Linked DNA regions of Alligator mississippiensis. The protein of the gene in region 3 purifies or fractionates together with the protein of the main gene of each other region. This does not show direct contact. Links are inferred from orthologs where the notes say so. Each region holds a gene or a part of one and is shown on either strand. Other genes may lie near its edges. The genes, in order: LAMTOR4, LAMTOR2 and SLC38A9.

What was found.
Region 1: the proteins of SLC38A9 (region 3) and LAMTOR4 purify together in Homo sapiens (affinity purification with mass spectrometry; 4 studies listed by BioGRID and IntAct, with this or other methods). This does not show direct contact. The link is inferred for Alligator mississippiensis from reciprocal best matches to the Homo sapiens genes SLC38A9 and LAMTOR4.
Region 2: the proteins of SLC38A9 (region 3) and LAMTOR2 purify together in Homo sapiens (co-immunoprecipitation; 5 studies listed by BioGRID and IntAct, with this or other methods). This does not show direct contact. The link is inferred for Alligator mississippiensis from reciprocal best matches to the Homo sapiens genes SLC38A9 and LAMTOR2.

The regions. Positions count from the first base shown.
Region 1 is NC_081838.1:23,516,321-23,523,735, reverse strand, and holds the start of LAMTOR4 (ragulator complex protein LAMTOR4), read left to right. Parts: upstream 1-4,379; 5' UTR 4,380-4,421; coding exon 4,422-4,463; exon of another isoform or gene 4,464-4,493; intron 4,494-5,033; exon of another isoform or gene 5,034-5,299; intron 5,300-7,415. Other genes in the region: MBLAC1 (metallo-beta-lactamase domain-containing protein 1), read left to right, coding at 1,499-1,564, 1,761-1,945, 2,077-2,266, 2,380-2,394. UniProt on the Homo sapiens protein: As part of the Ragulator complex it is involved in amino acid sensing and activation of mTORC1, a signaling complex promoting cell growth in response to growth factors, energy levels, and amino acids.
Region 2 is NC_081838.1:17,228,258-17,235,808, forward strand, and holds the start of LAMTOR2 (ragulator complex protein LAMTOR2), read left to right. Parts: upstream 1-4,527; 5' UTR 4,528-4,610; coding exon 4,611-4,612; intron 4,613-5,346; coding exon 5,347-5,439; intron 5,440-6,782; coding exon 6,783-6,945; intron 6,946-7,551. Other genes in the region: UBQLN4 (ubiquilin-4), read right to left, coding at 80-291, 3,012-3,163, 3,843-3,974. UniProt on the Homo sapiens protein: As part of the Ragulator complex it is involved in amino acid sensing and activation of mTORC1, a signaling complex promoting cell growth in response to growth factors, energy levels, and amino acids.
Region 3 is NC_081826.1:268,407,486-268,415,468, forward strand, and holds the start of SLC38A9 (neutral amino acid transporter 9), read left to right. Parts: upstream 1-4,888; 5' UTR 4,889-4,976; intron 4,977-7,983.

The DNA.
Region 1 (7,415 bases), on a different chromosome or scaffold from region 3:
CCAAAGAGCCTGGGGGGGCAGAGGGGTGATGGCAGAAGGACCCAGGCATCTGGGCCCCCAGCCCCTCTGCTCTCACCCCCCAGGTGTCTGAGCGGCAAATAAACACCATAGAATTGAGCTGTTCTGCCTCTCTTGGGGGGGGGGGGGGGGAGGGCTGCGGTGCAGCACTGAGGTGGGGGAGGGCTGTGGTCGGCAGCAGGGTCTCTGTGAGGGTACTGAGGGGAGGGGGTGGGTGGCGATGGGAGGGTCCCTCCCAGGCTGGGAATGGAGGAGCCAGAGTGGGGAGAGAACCCAGGCATCCGGGGCTGCTTCGGTGCCAAAAGGGCTGGGGGCCTCCAGGACTCCTGAGGGGGTTGGGGTTGACCTAGGGACACAGACACAAGCATGATAGTGAGGGCTAGGCCACACGCATGTGTCCTGGACCTGTGGGGCCCACATGTGTGTCTGTGCCACCAGGTTGGGGCATGTCCTGGACGCCTGCGTTCTGCATGTGCAGATAGCACCCCCCCACCCCCTGGGCCTGGGGGCAGGGTTCAAGGGGCTGCTCCACCCTGTAACCAGGACCTGAGCAGACCCAGATGCCTGGGTTCCACAGGAAACCCCTGGTCCCTGCCCCAATCGATCGAGCCAAGGCCTTGATGGCAGGTCACAGCTCAAGGCCACAGCACCTGGAGCTCCTAGACCCCGGACTCCTGGGTTCTCTGGGGTGGGAGGGGCTGAGGAGTGAGAGCAGGGGGCTGGAGACCTGGATGCCTGGGCTCTCTGGGAGCAGCTGGTGGGGGGGGTGCCCAGGCCCCAGCCCCTGGGTTGTCTGTGGGTGCCTCCTCCCTACCTGTTCCCCCTGGTCCACAAGTTGAACCCAGGGCTGTAGGGCAAAGGTGGCATTTATGGGGCCTTAGCCCTGAGAACAGAAAAGCTTGTTAAATAATCAGTGTCATAACTTGTGTTGTCTACCCCCCTTGCACCCCCCGCCAATCAGGAACCCAGGTATGTGGGGTCCCAGCCCCTGCCCCCCCAGGTATCTAGGCCCCTCTACTCTCACCCTCCAACCCCTCCCCTCCCACAGAACCCAGGCATCTGAGCCTGGGGGAGCCTCCCTTCATAGCCCCCCGCCCCCGCAGTTGCTATCTTGCCCGTGGGGCAAACTCCAGGAGCAGCCACACCCGCCCCCAACCTATATATTCCGCAGCCCCAGCAGGCCCCGCAGCCACCATGTGCCCCGGGGCCTGTTCGCGGGTGTTGGGAGCCGCGCTCTGTCCCCTGGCTGTACTCTGCGCCATCTGCAATGTGCTGCTCTTCTTCCCCAACTGGGAGACCCAGTTTGTGCATGGCGGTGGCGCCCACCTCACCCCGGAGGTGATGTACATGGGTGGCCTTGTTGGCGGCGGCCTGTTGGTACGAGGGACGCTGGGCAGATGGGGAGGGACTGGGAGCTAAGCCAGGGGATGCGGGGTGCAGGCCAGACCAGGGTCTTTGCCCTTCTCTCTTCTCCTTCCAGATTGTGATCACCGCCATCCACTTCCAGGCAGCTGGGCATCGGGGCTGCTGCGGGAACCGCTGCGGGGTGAGAGACCCCTGCCCTAAATCAAGGGGCTGGGGTTTGGGTGTGAGGGGCACCAGCAGGGTGGGGGAGGGGCTGCAGGTCAGGAGTGAGGGATACTGGGGGCGCAGGGGCTGCAGGGCAGGAGTGAGGGGCACCGGATGGCTTGATCCTGATCCTGCCCCCACCCCTGGCTAACAGCCCTCCCCTGCCCCTGCAGATGTTCCTGTCCATGCTGATGGCGGTGCTGGGCATAGGGGGTGCGATCTATGCCATGACGGTGTCGGGGCTGGCACTGGTCCGCGGGCCCCTGTGCCAGTATCTCCTGCCCGAAGGCAACCTCTCAGATTGGGGACGGCCCTTCCAGGGCCCACCCTGGAAGTCCGACGATGATGATGACTTCAGGTTGGGGGGGCGAGGGTTGGGAGTGAGGGGCACCGGTGGGGGGGCTGGAGAGGCAGGGGATGCGGGTCAAGAGTGAGGGGCACTGGCTGGGCTTTGGGGGCCAATCCAGGGTGACCCCCTACCCCCCGCAGGAAGTCGAGCTACCTGTTCCACCCGGAACTCTGGGGGAAATGCCACAACCCGCCGGACGTGGTGAAGTTCAACATCATTCTTTTCTCACTGATCCTGGGGGGAGCCGTGCTGGAGCTGCTGCTCTGCACTGTGCAGTTCTTCAACAGCTGTGCTGGCTGCATCTGTGGCCCCCGGCTCCGCAAGCGCCCTGTGAGTGCCTCTTATTCCCAGCAGGCCCCACCCCAGAGCCAGCCACCCTGCAGGGCTGGCCGCGGGCTGTGACAGGGACAGATGGGGACTCACCTCCTTCCTTTCTCTTTCAGGCGACGCAGCACTGAGGTGCACTGGAGCCGCACCCCCAGCTCCAGACCCACATGGGTACCCAGGCATCCAGGGTCACCCTAAGCACCATGGACCCAGGACGACTTTGGGAAGGGAGTACGGGGAGGGGGTCCTGCTGTACCTTGCTTGTGGCTCCAATAAAGCCCAGGACAGGGCCAAGGGTCGTGTGGTGCCTGTGGAGAACGAGGGGGGATTGATGGGGGGTGGGAAGGAAGCTGTGACCTACCCGCTCCCTGACTGGAGCCCCTCACTCCCATCCCGCAGCTGTGCCAGCCCAAGTGGTGCCCCTGACCACCGACCCCCCAGCCCTGCAAATGCCCCTTACTCCCAACCCGCAACCCCCAGCTCAACAAGTGCCCCTCACTCCTGCCCCGCAGCCCCACCTCCATCCCCACCCCCACCAGTGCCCCTCACTCCAGACCTGCAGCCCCACCTCTCCTGCAGCGGGGGGGAGGGGGTGGGCAGGAAGTCACAGCTCAGCTGTTGGCCTGGCTGTGCTGTGTGGCTGTGGCAGTCCTGTCGCCCGCTCTGCCCCGAGCCATTGGCGGGGGGTCACAGAGCTTGGAGCCCCCCGAGGCGGGTAGGTGACTGCGGGGGGAAGTTGGTGGGGGGCATCCCGGACACCTGGGTTCTGTGTGTGCTGTGGGAGAGCAGGGAGCTGCCTCTCTGGGTCCTGTTCAACCCCCACAACTCACCTCCATGGAGCTGGGCTGGGGCAGATGTGGGGGTATCAAGGCTGGAGAAGGGGGCAGTGCCCTAGTGGGACCTGAGCTGAGACCTGAAGGACTCGTTCCATGTACACTTGGGGGATATCAGAGCTACAAGTACCCCCACCAGCTACTGGAATCTCTGGAGAGGGAAGGCCCCTGCCCTGCCCCCCCATGCAGTGCCCCCCAGGACACCTGGATCGGGGCCTGGCAGGGACTGCCCCCCCCCCGCCCCTCCCCCACTGTACAGATCTGGTGACAGGAACTCTTTATCAGCCCCACTCAGCAGTAACGACGGCGGCCTGTGGTGGCCTGTGGCTACAGGAAGGGAACCCAGGCATTTGGGTGCCCAGCCCCCCCTGCTCTCACCCCTCAGCCACTGCTGTCCTAGAGAACCCAGGCATCTGGGCTTCCCACTCTGATGTGCAAGACTCCACTTCTTCCCCTTTGAAACTGGAACTAAAGGATAGGAGCTGGGTCCTCTCCCTGCTGTCTAAGAGGGGATAAGGGATGGCTGTGAGAGAAGTGGGGGCTGGGAGCCCAGACGCCTGGGTTCTGCAAGGGGCTGGGCTTAGAACAAAGCCTGGGAGCCCAAACACCTACAGCTGGATTTAAGACAAGGCCTCGCTTCCACACAACCCCAATTATATTGCCGAGGGGCAAGGCACACACCTCAGCTGCCTCTTCCTGGGTGGGGGCTATAAAGGGGCGGCCCTGGGGGCAGGAAAGACTCATTAAAGGTAGAAGTTTTGACCTGGGACCAGTAGGTTACTGGGAGAACTGGGAAGGGGGCTGTGGGTTGGGAGCAAGGGGCACTGGCAGGGCTGGGGGGGCAGTCCAGGGGGGTCCCCATTGTCTCGAATCCCCCCCCCCCACTCCAGGCCCCGCGATGGCTGCAGATCCTGAAGACAGCTCCGTGCCGCTGTTGCGGGACCCTGAGGATTCCCCTGTGACCCTTGCCCTGACCTGTAAGTGCCCCCTGTCCCCCCTGGCTGACCCCTGCCCCAGGCTCCTCCTGACCCTGTGTCTCTTCCAGGCCTGGGGAAGCTGGTGCTGTCGGCGCTCCCGGTCGCCTGTGTTGCGGTTGGTGAGTCCAAACCCCTCAATGGGGCAGTGCAGATCCCCCCTTCTGCCCCCTCACTGACCCCACGCTCCCCCAGGGGCTGTGTACCTGCGGCAGTGTCCCTGCCAGCCCCTGGTGCCCGTTTACCTGCTGGGCATGGGGGTCGTGGCCCTGCTGAGCCTGATGCTGACCTGCCTGCCCTGTGGCGATGGGGCTGAGCCGCCCCCAGTGAAGCCTGGAGTCTGGGGCTGCCATGCGCTCTTCCTCCTCTTCCTCTTCGCCTGGTTCATCGCTGGTGAGTCACAGGCCCAGATGCCTGAGTCCACTGGGGAGAGAGGGAGTGGGATGTTTTGACCTTTGATCTCTCAGTGGCAGCCCTCTCATAGGGCTGCTTGTATACCAGGCCCCTCTAGCTTGCATTTCCCACCTCTCCAGCAGTGACCTCTGACCTCTTGTGGCCTTCCCTGACCCGTTACCTGCATCTTCCTAGCTAGCTGTGACCCCTCAAAGTCCCCCCTAGCAATAACTTCTGATCCTTTCTAGACCCCCATCTCAATGTTCTAGCTAGCTGTGACCCCCTTGATTTCCCCCCTAGCAGTAACCCCTGACCCCTTCCTGACCTCCAGAGCTGGGTATGACCCCGTCGCACTTCCCAGTTCCTATCTAGTTGTGACCCCTTGAAATTCTCTCTAGAAATGACCCCTTCCCAGTTGGGTGTGACCCCTGACTCCCCACCTACATCTTCCCAGCTAGCTGTGACTTTGTGAACTGCCCCCAGCAGTGACCTCTGGCCCCACCCCAGGCAGCCTGACTCTGCCCCTGCATGACCACTGACCCTTGCCCTCCCATGACCTCTACCCCACAGGCAACGTGTGGGTATACTCCATCTACCCACCGGAGTACGTAGCCATTGGGAACCCACACTTTTGCCACCGTGGCCTCTACCTCTTTGCCTTCTGGCTGACCACGGGTGCCTACATCGCGCTGGGCCTGGCGCTGCTGCTGGCCCTTGGAGCCACTGCCTGCCTCCTGCTGCTGCGCACTCGCCTGCCCTGGGCCCGCCACGCCGACTACCCCTAGGGGGTCAGGGATTGCTGGTCACTGTGTGCAGAAAATGGGACCAATAAATCAGTAAGAAGCCTAGGCCTCTGAGGCAGTATCCCCTAGGGCTCCCATGCGTTTGCCCACACTCCCATGATCCCCTGGGGTAGCAGCCCCCCTCGTCAACCTAACAAAACCCTGTTAAAGGGTGTCTGCAGGTCCCCCTGCACCCGGGTCTGGGGGAGGCAGGGTCCCGAGTATGTACCAGTGGCATCCACGTCCACGATAATCCCCTGCAGTGCCACAGGGGCTGGGACCGCGGCAGGTGGCAGGGAAGGAGAAGAGGGGTGAGAGGTGCCTGAGGGCAAAGAGCCCCCAGCCCAGTGCTGCTCTAGGAGGTCTTGGGGGTCCTAGTGCAGCTTGCACAGGCTATGTACTGAGGGCCAAATCTGGCAACACGACACAGCCATGGGGCTCCCATTCTGGTGGCACCACAGGGCAGCAGGGCCTCGCTGCAGGGGGCACCGGCCACCTGCCTAGAGGACAACTCCGCCTCCAGCACTGCTTCCAGGGCCATGGGGCTGGGGTGCCTGTGACGGTTAGTGCCCATGGGCCCTGCTGCATCCTGCAGGAGACAATGGGGGTCACAGGGTTGCTGGGCACTGGGACCCTCCAAGCACCAAAGGCCAAGGAAACCCAGGCATCCAGTCTGCCAGCTCTCACCCCTGCAGCCTCCCCTCACCCCCTCCCACACAGCTCAGGTTTCCGGGCTCCCAGACACTCATCCCCCAGCCACCACTCCCTGGCCAGGAGACCCCTGGCCCCAGGAGTCTGGGTGACAAAACCTGGCAGTTTCCCATAACTCGGGCACTGTGGATAGGATCTGACACAGGCGCCACCCTTGTTAAGAGGAGCTGTGGCAGGCAGGGTTGTCCCTCGGGGAGGGCGAATCGGGGTGACCACCCTGGGTCCCGCGCTTTGGGGGGCCCCGCAGAGCTGGGTGGAGCAGTGGTGGCGTAGAGTCGGGCGGAGTGGTGGCTCCGTGTCCAGTCATTTGCTATCCCCTGCTGCTGCTGTAGCTTCTGCTGGGCCTGGGCCAGAGTGGGGGTGGGTCCCTGCATGGGCTGATTTCCCGTGGGCCCCACACCCTGTTTGGGTCGCCTCTGGTGGCAGGATGTGCCGGGCCAGGCTGGGCTGGACTTTCCTATTCCACTTTTTCCCACTCCCTCGTGCACACGCAGCCCTCTGTCTCGTGGCACGTCGACCTCTCCATACGACACGACACTGTTCTGCAGCACCTCCAGCAGCAATGCGCTTTTTGTAGAAAACACTGGGTAAATCGAGACTCCCTGATGAGAGATTTCAATCCCAAATTAAATCATAATTTCAATGGATTTGATCAAATCCATCCTGCCGGTGCAGGGGACAACACAAGCACCTGGGACCCTTCACGCATGGGGAGAGAACCTAGGCATCTGGGCCCCCCACAGACCCCATACCCCTTCCCCCCACAGGCTGATGGCCAGACGCCGGTGTCTGCGCTGCCAGGCTGTGCCCCTGCCTGCGTACGCCCTGTGGCTGCACCACTTGTCAGTGACGTTTTCGGCTGCACCTAACAAAAATAGTCGATGATGTTAATCTTCCTTGTAGCGGTGCCGATGAGGCACAGCCGATGCCCTTGCACAGCTCGAGCCCCTTTCCCAGGCCTGGGAGGGGGTCTGCGGCTGGGTTCCCGCGGGTTGGAACAGGAGAGCGGGGGGGAGGAGTGAAAGTCCCCCGGCTGCGCTCCCATGATGCCCTGGGGCTCCTGTGCCCTTAGCTGCACTCCCAGAATGCCCTGGGGCAGGAGTCCTACTTACCCACACTCCCATCATCCCCAGAGGCAGGAAGCTGCCTTGGCTGCATTCCTGTGATTTAGCTGCATTCCCATGATGCCCCGAGACAGGAGCCCCCCTTGCTTGCACTCCCATGATCCTCTGCGGCAGGAGCCCCCTTGCCCGTACTCCCATGATGCCCTGCAGCTGAAGCCCCCTTACTCGCACTTCCAAGATACCCCAGGACAGGAGCCCCCCCCCAGCTCCTTGCCTGCCCTCCCGTGATGCCCTGCGGCAGGAGCTCCCATGCCCGCACTCCCGTGATCCTCTACGGCAGGAGCCCCCTTGCCCGCACTCCCATGATGCCCCGCGGCCGAGCCCTGCCCCCAGAA
Region 2 (7,551 bases), on a different chromosome or scaffold from region 3:
GGACAAGCACTTTCAGCTGGGAAAAAGAGGGATGCATAGGCTGAACTATACGGGCAGAGAAACCAACCACATCACTCACAGAGGATGGATGCAGGGTTGCTGGGTGCTCCATTTCCAGCACCCCCCGTGGTCCCCGACCCACTGCTCCGCCGGCTGCCACCTCCCCCATCGGAGCCGGCGCTGCTGGACGTGGAAGGCTGAGATGGGGCAGCAGGAGAGGCGGGTGTTGCAGCAGGGGTGGAGGCAGCAGCAGAAGTAGCAGAGGCAGCAGCAGCTGAAGGATCTGGAACCCTAAAGAGAGAAGAGACAGTCACCGCTGCGGCAGGGAAACTCACACAGCCGGTTCCCTTCTGCAGTTCAAGAAAAGAAGCTGGGAGTGACCACCTCCGGTCAAGGGGGATGTAGAGCCATCACATCCAAAACAACCTGCTCTCACCCAAGGCAATGAGAAGAGAAGCGATGTTGGTATATACTTAACTCAGTCAACGCACCTCAGAGAAGACTGGTCCCTAAGCAGGCACTGACTTTTGTGTTATATATCAAAAAAGCAACTAGTTGGTTACCAGCATTCTTGACCCATTTGACTGCACCATGTATAACAGGCTTTTACACCACATATAACAGAGATGGGCTTTCCTCTGTGGCTGCAGGGAACAGGACTAGGAACAATGGCCTTAAGCTGCAACAGGGCAAGTTAGGCTGGAGATGAGGAGGAATTTTTTGACTTGGAGGGTGGTCAAGCACTGGAACAGGCACCTAGAGAGGTGGGGGAGTCTCCATCCCTGGGAATGTTTAAGGGCAAGTTGGACAGACACTGGGCTGGGATGGCTGAGTCTTGCTGGGGTTATTTGACCCCAGTGGTCTTTCCTGCCAAGAACAGGAGGACTGGACCCAATGATCTCACGAGGTCCCTTCCAGCCCTAAACTTCTGTGAATATGAGTCAGGGCTGATCCTGCCTTGAGCAGGGGGCTTGACTAGATGACCGTATAAGGTCCCTTCCAGCTTGACTTTCTCATGTTCTTTTCTCTTCAACCAACAGGGCATATTATAAGTAGAAATGGGAGAGAAGCAAGGCCCTGATGCTGCAGAAACTTGCACCCAAGCTTAGTCAGATCCATGAGCAAGCTTGTTAAGGTTAAGAGGACACACCCACACTGGCAGGGTGAGAAGCCATTTGCTACCACAGCTGTTCTAGCTTTGCTAGTTTCCCTTCCTCATTTCTCTCTCTCACACAGCAATGGGAGGGAAAGGACACTTTAAAACCCAAAAGCAGTTAAAGTCCCAATCCCCAATGGGAAGGTGGGCATGAGCCCTGGAACTACCAGCAACTCATCTGAAAAAGGGGGCTACAGTGCATATCAATGCCATTATGAATGTGGAACCATCAGGTGGTTTGCAAATGATGCCCCCTTCCCATAAACTGGCCATTCAACCACAAAGAAGGGTTAATACCTTCCTTGCCCGCTCGGCAAGAGAACCTGCTGCCCCCAGTACCTGAACAGACTGCAGGGAGGTAGCTCCTTGCACTGAGCAGAAAGGAAGGCTGACTGCCTTTCTAAAAGGAGAGACAAAAACCTTATGGGAAAGCTGTGAGTGCGGGGGGAAAGCAATGAGACTGGGAAAGGAGAATCTGCAGAGGTGGCCCTTAAAGGGGTTGAAACTGCAGATGGGCAGTGTCTTGGAAAGAAATCACAGCTGGCCAGCTGCTTTGAAAGCCTTTCTCCCCTTGCAGCCTGCCGAGATCTCTCTGCCATCCACCTCCATTCGCTCAGCCTCCCCTCCAAAAGCAGCTGAAATAGAGCATGCCTAGCCAGCTGCTGTGAGATGCTTGCCCTAGGAAAAATACTTCAGAATAACTACCCAGGGAGCAGGCTTGCGGCTACCGGGAGCACAGAAATTGTTGGATGAGGATTTTTTTGCCTCCATGGAACTTTCCATGGCAATTTTTAATCCCAAGCATTTTACAAACTAATTTCGCTGCTACCACAGCAGCGGCTGCAGTCAGGGAGACTGGGGAGAAGCCAAGCAGATGGGAAATAGGAAGTTTAATAAAGAAAAAAAAAGAAGAAAGATCAGGGTCACTTGGACTCTCTCAGCACAGGAAGGAAAGGCTGCGATGCACACATGCTGGTGACCATTAGAAAGACAAAAATGAATGATGGGCCAGTTTTTAGTTTACCCCAGGAGACAGTTTGCAAGTGCTGAAGTTTATCGCGGAGACAGCGGGAAGCAGCATGGCATCAGCACGCTCCGTGCACAGGTACTGTTCTGTACAAAAGCCTCCAACAGTAGCTGACAATTCGTGTGGCTTCAGAAAAGAGGTACTGATTTTTAATAAGCCAGGGAGGAGGCGCTCCTGGTGGGGGACAACACAGCTTCAAAAGGAGCGTGAGCCTGTTTAATGACGCCCACTGCTCAGATGGAAAGACGAGTCCCAGGAATGGTGGGAAAGGGCCGTTAGGAACAAGGAGGCCTGCTTGCATCTGTAACGCGGCAACGGCACCAGGAATCATTAGACAACTATAACTTAAGAGTCACCCAGCAGCAGCTTTCCAGTATGTTGATCTACACCCCATGTCTCTGGTCTGCCTGAAAGGTTACCCCCAAAAACGTCGTTACGTGCTCTTGATAATACCCTACACTCACTGAACGCCTCTTGCTGAAAGATCTCCCAGCGCACAGGACGGCCGGACCCCGCAGCCACGGGGACCCTGGAGCGCAAGGTTTTGGCTTCACATGGCTGTGAGCAAGTGAAATAATCTCCATATCCGCCCTGTCACCCGGAGAAATCCCTGCTTTAATAGGTTCTTACACGCAACAACTAATACTCGTAAGATTTCAAAGCACGTCAACTCTGCAAAGCTTTATGAAACCCAGGAGCCCGGGAGCCAAGACCCAATTAGAGCAAAGTCCCGCAGCCCCCCGAATTTGAACTCGTACGCTTGACGGCCAGGAACTCACAAACACGCGGCGTCATTTCCTAAAACCCCGGGAAAGGACGATTTCTTACTTCTGTGGGGTCTTAATCACCAAGTGCACAGTCAGTCCATCTTTGATCCCGTGTTGGCTCAACGTGTCTCCATCCTTCAGGATCTTCCCCGCAAAGATCAGAACCAGCTGATCCTGTTTGGCTTTAAACCGCCTGGAGATTTCTTCTTTGAACTAGGGACAAAGACAAAAGGAGGCAATTCTCAGGCCGAGGCGCTTTCCAGTCTGCCCGAGAGGCTACAGGAGCGCTGGGAACAAGCCTTCGCGCGGTCCGAAGGACACCGGGCAGCATCCCCGGGGCCGAGCTGGTTTCTGAGGTGGTTCAGGGGGCGACGGTGCATCCTTCGCCCGTTCGGCTCGTGCAGGCGAGCTTTGCAAGAGCAGAGCGCAACGGCCTTAACGTGAAAAGCAGCTACGCCGAGGATTACGGGCCCCGTTTACACCGGATCATCGCCGCTGGCCGGCACCGCAGAAAGCATGCCGGAGCGAAGCAGGCGGCCCCGTTTCTGGCTCCGACTCCCACGAGGACGCTCGGGTTTTGAGCCGACGGCCTCGCGGCGCCGCGGGAGGACCATCCCGTCCGCGGGAGGCTGCCCCGGCTCGGCACGTCCGCCCGTGAAGACGCGGCTCCGAGGACAGGCCCGGCTCCGCCTCGTCCACACGCGCCCGCCTGGCCATGCGCCGCTCGCCCCCGCGCCCCCCCGGCCCGAGCCCCGCGTCCTGGCTCGGCGCCCCCGCCCCCAACCCGGCCACGGCCTGCTCGCGGGGCGACCCCCCCGCCCGGGGCAAAACCTCCCGCGCGGCCCTGGCCCTACCCCCGCCCCCGCCTCAGGGCCCCGGGCCCAGGCCGCACCTCGCGCACGGAGGCGCCGTCGCCGATGACGATCTCCTCCTTGTCCTTGGGGGTCTTCACCGTGACGCGGATCAGCGCCGCACCCGGCCCCGGCTCCGCGCCCTCCGCGCCGGGCCCGCTCGGCTCCGCCATCTTGGCCGCCCGCCCCGGCCCGGCCCGGCCCCGCCCCCCGCCCAGGAGAGCGGCCCCCGGCGGCGCGGGGGGGGGCGCGGGGAGCTCGGCGCCCCCTGGCGGCGCGGCGGGGAACTGCGGGCGAGGGGAGGTGGAGTGGAGGGGCTTGGTGGGGAGACTGAGGCTGTGCATGCCCCTTGCGGGGGGAACTGAGACACACTGTGTGTGTGCATGGGGGTATGCATGCATCTGGGTGGGGAAACTGAGGCACGCTGTGTGCAGGGGGTATGCATGCCCCTGGGGGGAGAGGCGTGCTGGATGTGGGGAAGGGTATGCATGGCCCTTGGTGACTGTCTTGAGCTCCATGAGCCCCCCTCCCCTCTCAATCCTCGCAACTCTGCTCCGTAAGTGACACAGGGGAAACTGAGGCACGGAGAAGCTGCTCTGAAAAAGGGGCTAGCTTCTGGGTAGCCAGGGGCTGATTGTCCCTAAGGGCTGCCAGCTGGAGAGCTCACACCCACCCACCGCCCCTTCCCCAGGCTCAAGGCGGTTGCAAAGGAGCTGTAAAATGCTGCAGCCAGGCCGGAGGGAAGCTGACCTGGATGTGGGGATTAATCAGAGCATTCATTTCTCTGTTTTCACATCACCAGCTCCCAAATGTAAGTAGCGGTGGGGTGCGAAGGGGGTTGATCTCATGGCTGTTTGGGAGCGTCTGTGCTGGAGATGCAGCCGTGTTGTGCCTGCCATGGGGTTAAAGCAGGATTTTGGTCTTGTTAAGATAGAAATATATATTTCAGTGTATGTGTGCCTATCTATCTATCTTGCTCCTGACCCTCAGCCCCTGCCCACCCCCAGGCCATGCTGGTGCCTCTCACTCCCAACCCGCAGCCCCCTAGCGCTGCCTCCAATTGCCCTTCGCCTGCTCCTCCCAGCCCCAAACAGCTCCTTGCTGGGAAGTGCCAAGGGGGAAAAAAAAAATGATGCTGAGTAGAGCAAAATCCCAGATATTTGTTCATATTTTTAAAAAACTGCCTGGACAGAGGACCCAAAACGAGGACGTGTCTGGGAAAACCCGGACATATGGTAACTCTAAGCAATGTTTCTGCTTTTTAAAAAGGGAAACTGAACTGAGCTGGCAGGGCTGGGGGGTGGACAGCAAGATCTTTGTGTGGGCCATGTGCCTAGCTCCTGTCCTGGAGGTTGCCTGCAGCTGCCTTGCAAGCCTGAGTTGCTGGCAGGGCCATGCAATGCCTGCGCCTGTCGCATGTGGGCCTGACTCGGCAGAAGCCAGGCCAGGACTACAGCTCCCAGGCTGCTCCGGGCGCCCAGGGGCCATCAGCTGATGGGGAAGCAGAGCTCAGAGCTGTCTGCCTTCCTCTCCTCCCTGCTGCAGGGCCAAGAGCCGTGCGGTGGTGACCATGCTGCGCCCCAAAGCCCTCACCCAGGTGCTGAGCCAGGCCAACACCGGGGGGGTCCAGAGCACCCTGTGAGTATGGGGGAGTCGGGGGGTGGCTGGATGAAAGGGGTCTCCAAAGCCTGGGGCACAGCTCAGTACCTCTGAGCCTCCTTCCTCTGTACTCTTCCTAATTCAGGATAGAAACAGGCACCACTTGGTTTCCATCCCTGCCAGGAGCCATATAATGCAGCCTAGTGTGCCGTAAAAAGCAGTAATCCAGCCTAGCCCCTAAATCCTGTCTTCTCCCTGCCCAGGGGGGCTGGGGCACTAGCTTGCAGGACTAGCTGCATTGATGTGCCTGTGCATGGTTTGCTGAAGTGCAACCAGGCTCGTTCCAGCTCTGCCCGTTCTTGCATGCATTGACGTGAGACACTGCTAAGGGCACAGGCAGACAAGTTTCTTTAGGTAAATTTGATTTATTGATTGATTTTTATTATTCAACCAGTTAAATGCTTGGAAAAAATTTGTTTTTGCAAGCTTTTGGGTATAAACACCCTTCTTCAGAAGCTCGCAAAGAACAATTTTTCCAACTATTTCGTTGGCCAAATAAAAGATAACACGTTTACCCAAAGAACCTTGTCTGCCTATGTCCTTAGACCGACACGGCTACAACCAACAGCCTTAAAGCTAAGGGCATAGGAATCTTTTCCCACCTCCCCAGTTGCACCCCAGAGCCAAAGATGCCTTGGCTTCCTTGCATTTCAAGGTTGCTGCAACAGGCAGGAAGAAAACATACCATCAGGGGCGCGGGTCCTGGAGCTGGTGAGGTTGCCTGGAGCTGGGTAGATGCCGATCTTCTTTATGGCTAAGAGCCCCAGCTGGACAAAGCCTCAGCTGGGATGATGTAGTTGGGGCTGGTCCTGCTTTCAGCAGGGACATGGACCAGATGTAACCTCCTGAGGTCCCTTCCCACCCTCTTTTTTTTTATAATGTAAACCCCAAGGCTTCTGTAGCTTTTATGTAGGATGCCTGCCTGGATTTGGGGAGCTTCTGAAGCCCCAGACCGATAGGTCCAGGAAGGAGGACACTTGCCCAGTGGTAGAGTCACGCAGACTTGACAATTGAGCTTTGCTCAGTTGAATCTTGATACTTGATTATTGGGCTTTCACGATTGAATTTGGAAAGGATTCGGCCTTGAATAATAATAATAAGACGGTGATCTTCTTTCACACATGGGGTGATGCACTTACAGCTGAAGGTATAACCTGCCTGGGTGGTATTGTGTTAAAGGGAGGGGAGGGTGCTGGTTACTTCCCTCTTGGGGTGGAGGGGTCACACTTGGGATACTTGTGACTTTGGAGAGGCTGCGTGGGACCCTGGGGGCTGTGCATATGGGGGTTCAAGTCTGTCTCCTCCCTGCATCTCCTTTCCAGGCTTCTGAACAACGAGGGCTCGCTGCTGGCATATTCTGGTTACGGAGACACAGACGCCAGGGTCACAGCTGCCATCGCCAGCAACATCTGGGTGGCCTATGACAAGAATGGGCACCAGGCTTTCAATGAAGACAATTTGAAGTTCATCCTGATGGACTGCATGGTACCTGGGTTGGGGGTGGGGGTGTCGGTGGACTCCTGGCAGGAAGGTGGGATAAACCCAGGCAGCTTGAACATGAGATCCTGGCACCCAGTGGGTGGCTTCTTCCTGCCTTGGTTTCTCCCATCTGTAAAATGGGTCTGGTATGTGCCTTGTTGTGGGGACCAGTGAGCTTTATTCAAGTGTTTTGAGATCTCCCTGATGGAAATGCTAATTGTTGGGAAGTAGAACATCAAAACAGGGGAGCACTTTGCACCTGCCACTTGGAGTAAAGGGTGTGGGTGTGTAAACATCAGCTAAAACAAGGCCCAGGCTTACAAGTGTGACCTGACTTTGGCATAGCGTAAAGGACTGCATACAGGCAGTAGCAGCATCGAGCACTCTTCATCCGTAGACCTCAAACCACTTGACAGGCCAGCCTCAGTCTTGCAGATTGAGGGGAAACTGAGGCACAGAAAGGGGAAGGGCCTGGTTGGGCTGCTTTGCAGGCCCTTCTCAAAACAGGAGTAAAATCTGAGTCGAGGGCCCTTAACCCCTCTGCCACGCTATCTTCCCAACGACTCCTTGGTATCTTGATGAGGGAGAGCAGGGCCTCGAGATGCCGCGAGC
Region 3 (7,983 bases):
GTCTTATTCGACCTGAAGGGATGTGGGCAGTGGGATCCCCCAGGGCTCAGTCCTTGGGCCTGCACTGTTCAACATCTTCTTGGACGAGGGGGTAAAAAGCACCCTGTTCAAATTTGCAGATGACACTAAGATGTGGGGGGAAGTGGGCACACTAGAAGGGAGGAATGGGCTACAATCAGACCTAGACAGGTTACAGGGGTGGGCAGATGAGAACAGGATGGGTTTCAACACTGACAAGTGCACGGTGCTGCACCTGGGGAGGAAGAACCAGCAGCATACCTACAGGCTGGGGAACTCCCTTCTCATCAGTGCAGAGGCAGAAAAGGATCTTGGAGTCATTATTGATGCCAAAACGAACATGGGCCAACAGTGTGGGGACGGGGCAGGAAGGCCAACCACACCTTGTCATGCATCCACAGATGCATCTCATGCAGGTCCAAGGAGGTGATCCTCCCCCTCTATGCGACACTGGCCAGGCTGCAGTTGGAGTACTGCGTCCGGTTCTGGGTGCCGCACTTCAGGAGGGATGTGGACAACATGGAAAGGGTCCAGAGGAGGGCCACCCGCATCATCAGGGGGCAGCAGGGCAGGCCCTATGAGGAGAGGCTAAGGGACCTGAATCTGTTCAGCCTCCACAAGAGAAGGCTGAGGGGGGACCTAGTGGCCATTTACAAACTAGTCAGAGGGGACCAGCAGGCATTGGGGGAGTCCCTGTTCCCCCGAGCACTACCAGGAGTGACTAGAAATAATGGTCACAAGCTGGCAGAGGGTAGATTCAGACTAGACATCAGGAAGCGCTACTTCACTGTAAGGGCGGCTAGGATCTGGAACCAACTTCCAAGAGAAGTGGTGCTGGCTCCTACCCTGGGGGTCTTTAAGAGGAGGCTAGATGAACACCTTGCCCCGGTCGTTTGACCCCAGTACTCTTTCTTGCCATGGCAGGGGGTTGGACTTGATGATCTAGTCAGGTCCCTTCTGATCCTACAAACTATGAAACAATAATTGAAGGGTAGGACATACAGGAGAGGTAACTAAGACTGGGGGGTGGGGGGAAGACTATAAATCTAATAAATAAAGAGAAAGTATATATAAGTGATTTGCATTGAACATCATTTTGTAACTTTCTGCTCAAGTAAAAGATAATTGTTATATGTGCAGACTTTCTCTTCGTATCATTGTATACATAAAAGAAATTGGATGGAACTGCCTGAACTGCTGCTATGTTTCTTTTAAAACATAACAAGAGCTTCTGTCACTTCTTACAACGACTTTGGGTGCATAATAAATTATTTTTGGTTATCTCCTATATGTTTACTATCATTTGATGCTTGATTGTTCAAAGAAAGTAACAGCATAGCTGCAGACCAGTTTTAGTGACCATTATTTGCACTTCATCTCATAACATTTGTATCTCTTGCTCTATGGAAATTAATCAATTTGATTTATTATAGAAAAGCCCTACGTTAAAAAATATTAAGGCTTCAAGGTAAAAGATTCAAAAGTTAGAAAATGCCAGAATTTGATTTTCCAGCTCCTACTCCAAAGAAAAAAAAAATGTCTTCACATCGACAGCCCATGCAGCTATCACCCCAACTCTCCAACCTCCTCTTTTGGGGAAGGCAATTGAATGAGTGGGTCACCCGGCAGTTCCAGGTCTCTCTGAATTCTATCACACACCTGAACCGTGGTCAGTCTGGCTTTTGTCCTGGGTACAGTAAGGAGATGGTGCTTATCAGCTCAGTCCAACAATCTTCACCTGGAGATGGACAGGGGAAATTGTTCCTTTTTGATCTTATTAGATCTTTCAGCAGCTTTTGATATAATTGATCGAGACCTACTCAAATCATGATTTCATGGAAATTGCAAAATTAAGCAATCTCTGTGAAATTCCGCATACCCCCCAAAAAAAAACCTTCCTAAAAATAAAGTGCTGGCAGTTCTCCTGGCTGCACAGCCCACCACAAATAGGGCTGCCAGCATGAAAATAAGAGGGCAAGATGGCTGCCACCCCCCCACCCCCCGCCGCAAGATGGACAACCCTGTCCACCAATCGGGGCGGGGGGGGGCCACTGGGGCCCCTCAGTCAGAGGTGTGGGGGGCCCCCACCATGATAAGCTCATGGAAATAGCTGCAGGGCTCACAACCTGCCTGCAAAATTGGCCAGTGATAATGCATTTGCATGATCTGGTATATACTTGTGAGATCGCTTTGAATTAGTTCCACTCTTTCCTGGCAGGGAGGGCCCAGAGAGTGGTGATAGGCGAGTGTTTGTCATCCCATCAGGACCTCTCATGTGGGGTCTCCCAGGGTTTTGTGCTGTCACAGCTCCCGTTCAATACGAATCTGAGACCGTTGGGCAAGACTGTGAGTAGATGTAGAAATGCCATCAGCCTGATGATGGCATCCAGCTCTTATCTTGCATTTTCATTCAACCCAATGCTCTCTACATGGGGCTGTCCTTGAGGACCGTCCAGAAGCTGAGTCAAAATGCAGTGTCCCTAAAGTCACCTGAGAGCAACCTCCTGCAAATGCCATGGGTGTGTCAAGTTTGGTGGAATCAAATAGGAGGTGGTTCTAGGTAATCGCCCCTCAGCTCTGGAGCCCTCCCCTTAAAGCCCAAGATAGCCTCAGGCTGGAGATCTTCCAAAAGCATTGCAAGACCTTTCCATTTCAGGCCTTCAGCAGGTGGGGTTAAGTCTGGGGGCACTGCCTGGATAGGATGTTCGACTAAGTTATTTTATTTTATATTTTCATCTATTTCATATATTTTATTTTATTATTTATGTTTTGTTTTTACTGTAAGCCACCCTGAGCCTCTTTTGGGGAGGGCAGCATATAAATCTTATCTAATCTAAATTGATAAAAACTTTGATTCAGGTCTCTTGAGGGTATGAATTATAATACAATTTTTACTGACATAGTCTCACAGCATCTCCACTCCTTTACTGCCATGATGCTTATTTAATGACTACCTATCCAGTATATTGTTTGAGCATTATTGTTCAAGTGTGACCCAACATCTTATTTACAGCACACTATATGAAGTCTGCTTTTGAAGGACAGAATTATTAATTTCCTAGGGCATTCATTACTACAATATCTGACTGCTCCATAAACATGAATGAACTTAACACCCCTTTGAGGTTAAGGGTACTAATGCCTGCAACTGACAAATGGGAAGATGAGACGGGGGAAATTAAGACTAATTTTAGATATCTAACAGGAAAATGCCCAATACCTAATATTTCAGAATGCTTAAAATATGTAACACTTTGTATGTTTTAAATGATTCACCAAACATCGGACAAAAGCTAACAGAATCAGAAATATAAGCCAGTTCTCCAAGGCATCTTTCAACTGCCTTCTTAGGCTGTTCTTTCTTCTCCTGAAGTCCCTTGCTCCATGCTTTGTACCAGGAGAGACAATCCTATGGCCCACAATATGGCTCCAGAACCAGCTCATCTGACCTGTAGGGTTTGTAGAAAGGCCAGGAATTTGGGAGTGGGACCTGCAGAGATGAGGCTCACTGATGATATGCATGGCACAAGTCCCGTTGGGAATGTGTGTTGGGCACGGGGCATGGGGACAGCCGCTGCAGGAACCTCCACAGCTGCCACTGCTGCTCACCCTGCTGCTGCCGCTTCTGCTGCCACATCTAGATTCAGCCTGCAAGGAGCCCTGCAGTTTGGATCCAGCCCAGGGGCTGAGATGAGTCAACACCCCTAGTCTACACAACTTGAAACTTCTGCAATTAATAAGGCAGAGGTCCTACAGACAACAGTCTTATTTACCACTGAAAATGGATCTGTAGATAGATACACAGATAGACTTTGTTTTTACAGCTGCTCATTCAACAAAATTCACCAGTACAATATTGGCATTAAAAAGTATACCATGCGATTCCAAGTCACACTTTCCCCACTGATTTCACTGATTTATTCAGTGAGTTTCTCCTCTTCATGGAAAGTGCCAGTCCCAGGGAGGAACTAACAGGCTTCCATCGTGTATTGTGCTCTACATGTTTGTCTACGTAGGGAGAGAGTCCAGAATAACCGCTCTGTCATAGCTCCAAGTATGGCCACACAACAATCGGTTCTACAGACCAGGGTAGAGACCCACTTCTCTCCGCACCAGCGCTCCTCAACCTTTCTTCACCCCTCCATAACTTCTGTGAATGGAGTGACACCCAATTTAAAAACTAATTTAGATATCACAGTACTTACCTCCTTGCAGAAGGGCCAAGCAATGGCAGTGGAGGATGGATCAAGCAGGGACATGCCTGAGCTTATCTGCTCACTCCCAGGGGCACCCTTCAAAGGATCAGCTGGGCCCCGGCTGAGAAGCACTGCCTTACACACATGCACTGACTGCTCTAGCTGGTGACTGGGTCTGGCGGAGGCGTGGGGGGTCAGGAGCAGTCTTCCTGCAGGGGCACAGCCTAATTTACCCCGCTTCTTGGGCCCCCCCTTGGCAGCATTTCTCAACCCGTGGGCCGAGAAGAATCAGTGGCAAGGAAAGCAGTGGCTGAAGTGGGGGCGCACAAATGCCATCTTTATTACGGCGGGGGGCAAACCCCCGAGGCTGGGGGAGGCTGCCCTATACCTATGGGCACGGGGGCGAGCCAGGGAGTGAATTCACAGTGAATTCCCGGTGCGCGCTCACCCGCGCCAGGCAGGCCGGGCCCCAGGGACGGGGGGCAACCCGGGGTGGGGAGGCAGCCCCGTCCGGTCACCGCGCCGCCCGCCCGCCTGCCTGCACAGCTCCCCCCGGTCCCTACCCCTGAGGCTCAGCACCGCCGCGAGCCGGGCCCGCCGCTCCCCGGCCAGGCCCGGCCTCCCCGCGCATCGCGGCGAGCGACCCGCCCCCGCCCCCGCCCCCGCCGGGGCGCGCTGGGAGCTGTAGTCCGCGCCCGCGCCGGCCCGGCAACTTCCCGCGGCCCCCGCGCCCTTCCTGTTTTCGGCCGGCGCCGGAGCCAGGTAGAGCCGCGCTCGGGTGCGGGCCCCAGCGGGGATCCGGGCACAGCCCCTGGGGCAGCTGCAGCGGGGTCGCGGGGAGGGGGTCGGGCCGCCCTGCCAGCCGGCCGGCCCCTGGGGGCGCCCGGTTCGGGCCCTCGTTGGACCCCCGCCCCCGGCTCGGGGCGATCCCGGGTCGTTTTCATGCGAGCGGCCTTTTGTTCCAGGTGAAGTGGGAGCCCTTGGGCTCCCCGGCCCTCGGGACGGGCCCCGGGGACACGCTGGCTTCTCCCTTTCTTAATCCGCGCAGTGGAGGTTACTTCAGGGAGGAGGAAGGACACCTGCTTTCCAGGCGGTAGATAATATTGCCAGGTTGTACTTCTCCTAAGGCTGCACCCCAGAGAGTTTCAGGGCTGTGTTATCTGGGGTCAGTGTAAACATCTCAGCCTGCTCTAGACGGGGCTGGCAGCTACCTGTGCTCCCTCCCCCCAACACTGCAGCTTGCAAGTCTGCCATGCAGCCCCCATGCCCAGAGCCTGCCCCCTCCCTGCTTCGTACCCTGCCGCTGAATCTGCAGGCGCATCAGGTCTCTGCCACTGGCTGTCTTGTGTTAGCTGCAGTGCAATGCAGGGCTAGGACAGACAACCAGCTGACAGAGGCTGTAGTGGGAGTCAGCAGCCACCAGGCTTTCATGCATCTCTGGTTCCTCACTGAAGGGGACCAGTAAGTCCAACAGAGACTCCCATGCTTTCTGTATGTACAGCTACTCCTCACTTCATGTCCCAGTTATGTTCTTGAAAAATGTGACTTTAAGCAAAATGATGTTAAGCGAATCCAACTACATCACAGCAGTTACCTACTAGCAGGCAGCGGCCAAAGTGTTATAACCGAACATTGCACAACCTTTAAATGAGTGTGTTCTCTAATAGATCAGTGATGTAATAATGAAACAATGTTATCCCTAATGATGTTAAGTGAGGAGTACCTGTACCTGTCAGGAGATTTCCTTCACTTGGGAAAGGTCTGTCAGCAAAGCCACGTAGTATAGGTAGGCCAAAGCTTATACGTCCACACTTCAAGCCACTTTATTACAAAATTCTGTCTTTCTGCTAGCTGACCAAAAATGATTTCTATTGCTGCCTGGCAGCAGGTATGTGTAGACATGCCTACAGCTTCTGCCAGCTCCTATGGTTCCTTCAGCAGTTGGTGCCTCCCATATACTTCACACCTGGCCAGTACAACAGCTGTAGTAGAGCCACCAGAAGCACATCACTACAAAAATTTTGTAGCAGCTTCCTTCTGACAGCTGCTATTAGCAAAATTTATGGCACAGACACAACCTAGGCAGACAAGATATAAGAGTTCTGGTAGAAAGATGGAGTCTAAACTCACCAAAGAGCTTTGGGTGCAGAAACACTCAATGTTTTGCTGGTAGAATATGGTAGTAAGGATGAGAGAACGTAGATACATAGAACTAACAGACTGGTGCATGTTTTGTCTGACCACTGGGGAGAAGGCCAAAGTGTGCTTGAACTGGGTTTAAACTTGTGTAGTAAACTATTTATACACTGTTATAGAGCAAGGATTCTTAATCTGGAGGGCCTCTATGTGCAGCAGCTATTAAGAACATTATGTGTGTTTTGTGATCAGGAGAGGGAGCCTACCAAGGAGATGGTGTGAAGTAATATATGGTATGATCTGTATTACATGGCTTTGCTGCTCCATGAATATTCAACGCTCTGGTTGAGTAGGCACAGTGTACAGGATAGTCATTGTAGGAGGGTACCTTGTTTGTTTGAAAAGGGGAGGAGTAATGGACCCTATGGACATGTGAAACAGGGCTTTGTATTTTGGGGTCTGGAGTACCTGTGATTATCTGACAGGTTATGGTGACATTAATAGTATTTGAATTGGTGAGATCTTTCCATAGCAGTTGTTAGAGGTGCAGCCCCCAAAGTCTAGAGCTAAAGAACAGACAAGGGATTTGATGCACCCATGATTAGGCAGGCAATATAACTCCTATTGTTTAAATAGGAGTTTTAAATAGCAGGGATTGTTTCAAGGCAAAGTGTTAATTTGAATAATTCACAGGTACTTAATGTGGGACATTGAGTTTAGTTGTCTGTAAGGTCTGGATTTGATGCACCTCAAAATGCTCTAATGCAATCAAACTTGTGTTTGTTAGTGTTTAGCCTGAGTGTTCCAGCCACTTTTAAAAGAGAAGCCACACAATTGTAGCATAGTTTGGTTTCTACTCATAGCCCATCACCCCATGTTGAGAGAGGGGTGGAAAAAGGATCCTGCTCTTCAAGTAAATATTTTATCATTAAGTAAAAAGAGTAGTGACCCCATTCTTCTGTGTTATATTGATTGCTACAGAGCTATTTATTTGGTTCATAGTGCACTGTTCTTTTCAGGACAATTTCAGAGGACCTGCCTTTTATCTTAATGCTTCTGTTTTGAATGTGGGCCATAAAACTTTAGAGTGATACTTTCAAAAGCACTTTGTTTTGGCCTTATTATTTTTCCTTACTGTATCGTCTAGTATGAGCTGAGAAGAGACCCATAAGGAAGGAATGAAAGCTCCAGGAGGGGAGGATGTTGCTGTGTGAGTGGCAGAGGAGAAAAAGAATAATTTTTGAAGGAAAAGCCAGTTTACCAACCATTGAAGGGAGAGAAGAGTATCTACATCAAGGATGTGAAACCAAAGCAGCTGTGGATGAGTGGTGCTGGGCTGGTCTGCAGGCCTGATTGGGCCCATGGACATGTACACACACACCTTGACCCTCTTTCCCCTTCCCTAGCATACCTGATTTGGCTGCCACTCTAGGTCCCTTACAGTGGCTGTTCCAGGATCTGGGCTGCACAGCATGGATGCCATGTGTAGCAGTTTGGTGGGAGCAGTGGCCGCCCCAGTTGGACTGCACTACAAGCAGTACCTGCCCCAATTGTGCTGTACATGACACCTGCTCCAGCTAGTCCAGAAGCCACACTGCACATGGCACCTGTGAGCGTTGTGTGCAATGTGGGT